2 linked regions of the Daphnia pulex genome follow. The protein of the gene in region 2 interacts with the protein of the main gene of each other region in a pairwise test. Links are inferred from orthologs where the notes say so. Each region holds a gene or a part of one and is shown on either strand. Other genes may lie near its edges. The genes, in order: serine/threonine-protein kinase mos-like and myotubularin-related protein 9-like.

Region 1 (3,622 bases), on a different chromosome or scaffold from region 2:
GAGTGCAATAGCCACTTTTGACGCTAGAGGACTCCGGACTCCGGAGTGCAATAGCCACTTTTGACACTAGAGCGCTCCGGACTCCGGAGTGCAATAGATTTTACCAAACTTAACTTACAAATTTTCGAAGTTGGCGTGGAAGACATTTCATTTTTTCCCTCTAATTAAATAAAATGGCTGCACCAGTACCCACGCTTTTACCTCTGGTAATACTTTTTTAAAGTTATGCAATTAAATCTTCACCTAAATTTGGTGTGGTATACAGGAGTTGGTTGATAAATGCATTGGTTCAAGGATCCACATTATCATGAAGAATGACAAGGAAATAGTGGGAACTTTGCTAGGGTTCGACGATTTTGTCAACATGGTGCTGGAAGATGTGTCAGAATTTGAATCTACTCCAGAAGGAAGACGTGTGACTAAGCTAGACCAGATCCTGTTGAATGGAAACAACATAACTATGGTAAGGATGCTATAGCAACATAATTTATTGTCTTATTACTTGAACTAATAGCCATTTCATGATTGATATTTAGTTAGTTCCTGGTGGAGAGGGACCAGAAGCTCATTCATGAATTTTTCTTTAATTTTCGAAAGACAATACATCATTCACTCAAATCCTTGAGAATATTTACAATTTCTGACATAGTTGGGCGGTCTTCAGGTTTTGGTTGCCAACAGCTTTGATAAAGCTTACTAAATGTTGTTTCTTCTTCATTACAATTACTATTGAGGACTGGTCTTTCATCCTTGGCAACAACCTAATAACCAACAAGAAACTTAACAATGAATCACATAAAAAGTCTAAAAATGAAATACCAGGTATGCTACAGTGGGCCAGTCCAAGTCAGAAAAAGGTATTTGATTGTGTTCAAATTGCCATAATGTTATACCATAGGAATAGACATCAGATTTTGTTGAGGGAACATCCCCTTGAAGTATTTCTGGGGAACAGTAAGAAACTGTACCTACTCTTTGTTGGTACTGAAACAGAAATTAAATAGAACACAAATTACATCCATTTTCAATCACATCAAGATATGACAAGATAAAACTAACCTGGAATAAATCAAGCTGATGAATGTTTGCAGAATTTCCAAAGTCTCCCAATTTAATCCATTTTTCACTTTTCACCATAATATTAGCAGGTTTCACATCAAGGTGCAGCACTCCATTTGCATGACAATATTCAAGAGCCATGGCTAATTGTGTCGAATAGCTGTAAATTAAAAGTATACCATTAATCTAATTGTAATTTGGGGAAAGTCTGATTAAATACCTGAGAATGTCTCCCCATGGAATTTTCAAAGACATGCTAAGAAGTTGTTGAAGGTTAAGGGAACCCCAAGGTTCCATTAAAATTAGAACATCATCATCAACTTTCTCTATTTTAAGAGTGCTGATTATGTTGGGATGTGACAGCTTTTCCCCATTTATTTCATTGACCTGTTCTTTTGCAGCATTCTTTATTATTTTAACAGCAACTTGTGCATCTGGAAAATTAAATTACAGTACTGGTTTTTAAGGCTTTCAACTTTGATAAAGCGATCATATTACCTTTATACTTTGCCAACACAACTTGACCAAACCTTCCCCGTCCTAGTACATTAGATGAGTTGAGAGTGGTCTTAATTTTTGAAGCAAAAAGCAGCCTATGGGGACTATCAACAGAAAGTGAAATACTATCTCGTTTCTGAAAAAAATTATTTGGACTATTGAAGTTAAAATGGCTAGATGATGGGGATAATGAAGGTGTGGATTGGGGGTTGCACTGTGGAAAAGGTGATAACAAGGTGTGATATTGAGTGTGACCAGCTGGAACTGGACTCAACTTCAAATGATTGGGACTTTTAAAATCTTTAATAGGTAAAAAGCTTTTCAAACTAGCAGCTGCGACACACGGAGATCGTGACATGTCTTGAAACCCAAAACCCAAAACTGCCCTGTAGAATAAAAAAGGGGGGAGAGCTAAAACACTGTCTCTTTTTAACGTTTTCTAAAACCTTTTCCAAGATACACCCACCTCGACAAAAATATTCTAATTTAAAAGTGTTTTTCGAACCCACTCCGTATGTTTACTTAATGTCCCCGACGTTGTCATATCATTTTTAAAAACATAATAATGGAATAATTAATCAGCATGATTTTTTTTTTTAATTGCAAATGTAAAATCGGTAAATTTTGCCATTTTGGGGTGAATTTTCGACTAAATGAACCTGACGAGCTTTTCCTTTATTTGCCTCCACAGAACCAACCTGGAAATAACAAACAAAATGTTTCGTGTACATCTCTTGTTGGTTTGTTTTATTCTTGAGCACTTTTGCATTAAGTCATAGAAGTGTGATTAAGTTCCTTGCTTAATTTAAATGTGATGTGTGATTTAAATGAATATATTATATTTTAAAAATCTATAAAGTTAATGAAAGGGATCAGAAACATTAAATTAGAAGAATTCATGTATTACTTCAGACAAGTCACATCGGAATTCGATTGAGTCATAGAGACGAAATTTTAATTGAGTGAAAAAGACTTGTGAAATTTGTGAGATCAGGTGAACAGAAAGGAATCATTTTTTAATTTCTGTTTTGGGGAACGATAGTAGCTTCCCCTCTTTCAGGTGGAACGGACCTCGTTTGAAGAGTTCCGGTGGAAGTTCCTGGGCGGAGTTCTAGTTCCGGTGGAGATTTACCATCAGGTGCGGCACGGATCAAGGATTCATCTGCTTTCATTTGAGCAGACTGCGGATTCAGGGACGACGAACAGCAGTCGATGTGTTTGTTGCATTCTTCTATCGAGGCTCGATTAACTTGATCAACGTATATCATGCCGATTGCAGAGGCCACAATTAAAACAACAGCTGTGATGATTATCCAACCCTCGAATGAAATTCTCGTTTTAGTCTCAGAAGCCATTTTGAAGGAATCGAATCGTGGAATGTAAATCCAATGACCAGCCGCTTCTTATTGCTTTCAGTGGGTACAGCTCGGCTTGCAAGTGCATTTTGGCATTTAAATCGGAATTTTACTTTCAAACAAATTTATTTCATGCTGTGAAAGTTATAAATTTAGATCAAGTATAATTTTGACAATTTTGTTCACACATTGATGGATTATTTGCATGTTGAATTTAAAATTTTAACGCAAAAAAAAAGTTACGCCATCCCCGTTTGTCGAGAAGAAATGTGTGACTTGATTTCTTAGTTATACACCCGCAATGGAAGAAGTCAAAGGACAATGGAACAATTTAATCATTTTAACTGTTGTTAATTTAATCAAACTCGTGTATTTTATTGGGTTTGACAAATTCAGTCACATATGTTGTTGAGAAAAGCGACAAAACACAAATAGACGCAAAGCAAGTATTGAAACACATCACTCAGATTAGAACAAAGATATAAGACATCAAAAGATAAAATTATCCAACGGGAAGCTATACAAACAACGGAATGTCCGAGTTCACGCTACGAAAAACAGTGGAGCACATCGTGCAAGGAATACAAACACTTTTGGATTATTGACATTTCAATCCTAGGCTTGCTTACTTATGAGTTATATGACTTATGATAGCAATGAGTGCGATGGAAACTTTCGGACAGTTTGAGATCATCATACAGTAATAAAAC
Region 2 (4,580 bases):
TTTGTGGAGCAAGGGGAGGGGGGATGATGACGCCCAAGCCGGATACATACCTGAGGAAACTACAGGGGACACAAGTTCCTTTGTTCTCATAGATTCTTGCTTGACGGCCTAAATATAAGATTTTCTCGAATAGATAATAATAACAAAAAAATAAAAACAGGTTTTTCAAAGTGGAGGAATACTCCATCACGATTATACGGAAAGGTCAACCACGTTCCTTTACTTTATACAACATGTCGTGCAACTCTGGAAGGGATGACACGAATTGCTCACCCCACTTAAAAAACCACCGCGTCGGTATTTTTCTTTTAGGCTTTTTCGAAGAAAAAAATGAGTAGAATTCGTGCATCCGTGAAATGGATGATGATTGAAGAAGAAAGATGGTTAGATTACAACCACGACAGTCCTTTACACTGCTGACTTAATATCAAAAGATTGAAACGTCACATCTAAAGTTTCAAATTCTTTTTGTTTTGCTCAACGGAAGAAAAAATAATAAACAAGCAGAGAAAATATAATGAAAACTCAATCAAAGACTGTTCCAATGCTGCTAGGACTATCAAGTAGTCCCTTCGCGATGGCATCACGTTCCAAATCTATCAGTTGGCGGCGGAGACGCTGAGCTTTAGAGCGCAGCTCTTTGTCCTGCTCACAAATTGCTGCAATGTCACGCCAGGCATTGTCGTAGATGCTGGGTTCCACCACGTAAGCGAGGTACATTGCTGGCCACAAGTTCTTTTAAATTGAATCAGAGAAGATTAGAATTAGAAACAAGAATTTAAATTGACGAAAATTTATGCATACCACGCTCATAGGAGCAACTGAAGGCCAGATAACGCGATTGTTGGGCTCGTAGAGCGGGTTAAGGAAAGATCGAAGCACTTCTGGTCGATTTAAATGTGACCATAAACTAACAGTCTTGGACGACAGTTGCATTTGATAGCGATCTAATTCGTTATTTCCCAGAAAAGTACCTATTCCCAACGATTAATGATCCAATTCATTAGTTTTCGTGTTGTTTTATGCCAGGCTAAATTACTTTTTTACCGAATTGAGACCAATAGGAATGACGAGCCAACTGAAGGAGAAATCCTTCATTAAACTCAAAACTGCATGGGAATTGCTGCATGATTTGCCAAGTGCAATCAATAAATAGTAAAAAAGTCGGCGCATTTTCTTTGCTCCGTGAGACTGTGTTACTCAGAGCCGAGCGGTGATGGCGTTGAACAAAGGGATAACCTGCTTGAATCCATTCACGCTCGATCAAAGCCTCAAAACTTGAAGAAAAAGAAAAATAACCACAGGAGAACTATAGAAGCCTTTCGATATTTGCAAAGGGGATTAAACCTTACCCGTGAACTGTGCGAGAGTCAGGGCTAAGAATGACCTGGGCGAGGGCAGAAACGGCCAATGTAGAATCAAGACCTTCTCCTCCATGAAGTAGAACAGCAGCAGTTTCTTGATCAATGCACTGAGAAACTAAACAGGCACAATTCATAGTTTCTTTTACGTACGAAAGCCATTGGGAAGATTCTAAGCGGGACAGCCATTTATCCATAGAACTGCCATTGTCAAGGCAGGCTGAAAAGGGGTTAATAAATATGTCAAAATGTCACTTTTAGGGGGCCAAACAATATTGCTTTTTACCTTCAACTAGTTTGGATAGCGATTCAAGTAAAGACTGCAGTCTTTCAATGGGTTTATGAATGCGACGCCATTGAGGGTAGTGAGATTCGGTCTCAAAACCACCTGAACCTTTAGACTTTGGAACGAAATTTTAGATATTTAGACAAGATTTTTAGATTGAAAGAATGATATTATACTTTGGGGGTCGGTGTTGTGCTCTGGTGGCGGGTATCAATAATGTAACCCCGCATCCCTGGTTTCAACACACTGTTAAGAAGTTTTTCATCCTCACGACAACGCTTAACATTTGGTCCCGAATGAGGCTGACTACTTCTCATCATCACAGCCTGAATAAAAAGAAAAAGAAATAAAAATATTGCAGCATATTTATGATTAAATGGCAACTTACTCCTCCTTCATGCCTGTATGAGAGAACTGGAAATCTCCCTCCAACTCGAAACGATGCAGCAGCTATTAAGACGTCATCATCGACCGACTTGGGAACTACAACAGCAGATGGATAAGACGAGCAGATTGAATAATCCTTATTGACATAAGAAATCCTCCAGTCTTCCTGTTGTTGCATGACTAGTTTGGAAAATTCAGTTTCTGGCCTAAATGCTGTCCAACCATCTTCTATTGCAGTGTAAACTGGCTGATAGAAGAAAGGATAATAAAGAGACTGATTCTCTGTGGTAAAAAAATTATGATCTATTAGCAGGTGGTTTTAGAAGATGTAGGCTTATAAGCACCGATCTGTAATAAATACCTATGGATGATAAGCACTCCAATGAAGCTGAAACATTCATCAGTTCTTCTGTATTATTGAAATCAAAACTGATAACAGAAAAATCTTTGCACTTGAGTGTAAGAGTGCCTCCTGCAGCTGGAGGTGTGTTGGGTTTTCTTTCCACTAAATCTATGATTCTATGAATCAGCTGTAAAAATGAAAAAAAAAACAATGTGAAGGTAATTTACAAAAAACTTAATAAAATTGGTATACCCAAAATTCATCAGGATTTTCTCCTCCAGCAGAGAAAATGAGGTGGTGCCCAGTTATACATAGCACCCCTTCAACAGATTTGTGAAGTGGGCGGTGGACCAAAACCTTTTCTACCCTTGGTGACTTGATGAGATGTGCAAACTCCATTTTCACAGCTCAGCCTTCAGAAAGAGACAATCCATAAATCGGTTTAATGAAACCTAATAATTTTCCACAAACCTTGTATTGTAAGGATTTCTTCACCTGTCACAATCTCCAGCTGGACGATTTCAGAAACGAGTTGCGCGCGCAATTGATCGATAAAGACTAAATGAGGTTAAAAATACAGCATTCGCTTAAAATTTACAGTATTTTGGAAATTATTTTCATCCTGACAGTGAATTATCGTTTCACTTCATACCAAGTGAGCGTAAAAACGTAAACATTGGTGTCGTGAAAAGCAGAAAAAAAAAATATTTTTCATATCCCCAATTGACAACGTTGTTTGCTATATACACCGCCGGTGTGTCTTGTGTGTGTGACTGTGTGTGTGTGTGTGTGTGTAAAATAATTCTGGCGAAACCCTGAGCTGAAATATATCGCATGCTTCTGAAGTGGTTCAAGATTCGTGACACCTTTTTATAGAGTGGGTTTGTTTTCACGACACCATTATTGATGATGCTTTTTAATTTGTAACATTCTTCTTGTTTGTAGCATCATCACTGGACCGAAATATAGATAGCCTGTGGGCGGAGCTTGTTTGATTGAAAAATCCTCTCCGGATTCCGCCTGCTCTAGCGGTGTTTCTACGAAGCACAGGAAGGTCAGTCCTCAGTGGTATGCTTGCTAAATTCTACGTTCATTTTCCGTTTCGCAATAACATATTTATTTGGAATCACTAATTGCAGATATCAAGGGGACAAGGGAAAAACTGTGCTGCCTGCCCGGAATGGATAACGCTGCGACTGCTGATGTCATCAATGAACCTTCCAGTGATAGAGTCATGGAGGATGTTGGTTTAATGTCCAGAAAACTGAACAGTGAAAACAGTGAGCCTGCAGATAATGTGGCCACTGCATGTGAAAACTTCGACACTCTTTCACCTAGGGATGGCACTCCCCAACTAAATGGTGATGAACAGAGCCAGATTGATGATGATGAAGTACAAAGTCTTTTTATAGCTGAAGATTCTGAGGAGGATGAAGATGAAGACGTAGATGAAGATGTGGATGAAGAGGATGAAGAAATGCCAGAACTTTTAGACTCAGATGGTGCTGGGATTCAAACAGCTACAAAGGATGATGGTACTACTGGAGAAACATCAGATGAGGAAGCACCTCCAGGACTCATTCTTAGCCATGGTTCAATAATGAAGCAGGAAGGCAAGAATGTGGACAGTCTCTCAGGTGTAGTTGAAAATGAACAGTTAGAAGATGATTTACAGAGTCTTACTGACAAAGGAGACCAAAACCAAAAGTAAATACAAAAATTAAGTCTATACATTATTCCTTCTCAAGGGTTCCACATGGCAACAATTTCAAAAAATTCTTTTTAAATTTTGCATCTAGCATTAAACTGCAAGGAACTCCATCAGCAGCTCTAAGAAGATCCAGCAGGACTAAATTACCCATCAGCCCATCTCCAAACGACGTGTCACTTTCCGCAGGACGTACCACGCGATCACAGATCAATCCTGACATAATCGCAAAGCAAAAGTAAGGAAATCTGAACTTGTTTTTTAAAGCCATATATTGGAGATCCATTTCTCTTACAGGTCTTTCATGCATAAATACCAAATTGCTGTCAAAAGCTCTATGGACTCGTATGTTCGAAGTGCAACTAGCGAAGTTGAACAGGTTAAAGTGGAAACACAAGCCACAAAGCGCAAATGGGAGGATACAGGAGGGACAGATGCCGTGCATTCTCCTCATAGTTCTCCAATTCAAGAGAAAAGAAACAAAAAGTAACTAAA

What was found.
Region 1: the proteins of myotubularin-related protein 9-like (region 2) and serine/threonine-protein kinase mos-like interact in binary tests that used the Homo sapiens proteins (3 or more experiments, as listed by UniProt). The link is inferred for Daphnia pulex from reciprocal best matches to the Homo sapiens genes MTMR9 and MOS.

The regions. Positions count from the first base shown.
Region 1 is NC_060021.1:7,376,591-7,380,212, forward strand, and holds serine/threonine-protein kinase mos-like, read right to left. Parts: upstream 2,077-3,622; 5' UTR 1,916-2,076; coding exon 1,558-1,915; intron 1,494-1,557; coding exon 1,280-1,493; intron 1,220-1,279; coding exon 1,060-1,219; intron 985-1,059; coding exon 820-984; intron 762-819; coding exon 606-761; 3' UTR 576-605; downstream 1-575. Other genes in the region: peptidyl-prolyl cis-trans isomerase H-like, read right to left, coding at 119-151; U6 snRNA-associated Sm-like protein LSm5, read left to right, coding at 174-206, 266-463, 537-575.
Region 2 is NC_060028.1:7,381,074-7,385,653, forward strand, and holds myotubularin-related protein 9-like, read right to left. Parts: upstream 3,079-4,580; 5' UTR 2,849-3,078; intron 2,791-2,848; 5' UTR 2,777-2,790; coding exon 2,630-2,776; intron 2,565-2,629; coding exon 2,396-2,564; intron 2,317-2,395; coding exon 2,036-2,316; intron 1,974-2,035; coding exon 1,824-1,973; intron 1,763-1,823; coding exon 1,648-1,762; intron 1,582-1,647; coding exon 1,353-1,581; intron 1,278-1,352; coding exon 1,048-1,277; intron 975-1,047; coding exon 805-974; intron 736-804; coding exon 526-735; 3' UTR 451-525; downstream 1-450. Other genes in the region: protein kinase C-binding protein 1-like, read left to right, coding at 3,558-4,084, 4,177-4,323, 4,383-4,571. UniProt on the Homo sapiens protein: Acts as an adapter for myotubularin-related phosphatases. Increases lipid phosphatase MTMR6 catalytic activity, specifically towards phosphatidylinositol 3,5-bisphosphate and MTMR6 binding affinity for phosphorylated phosphatidylinositols.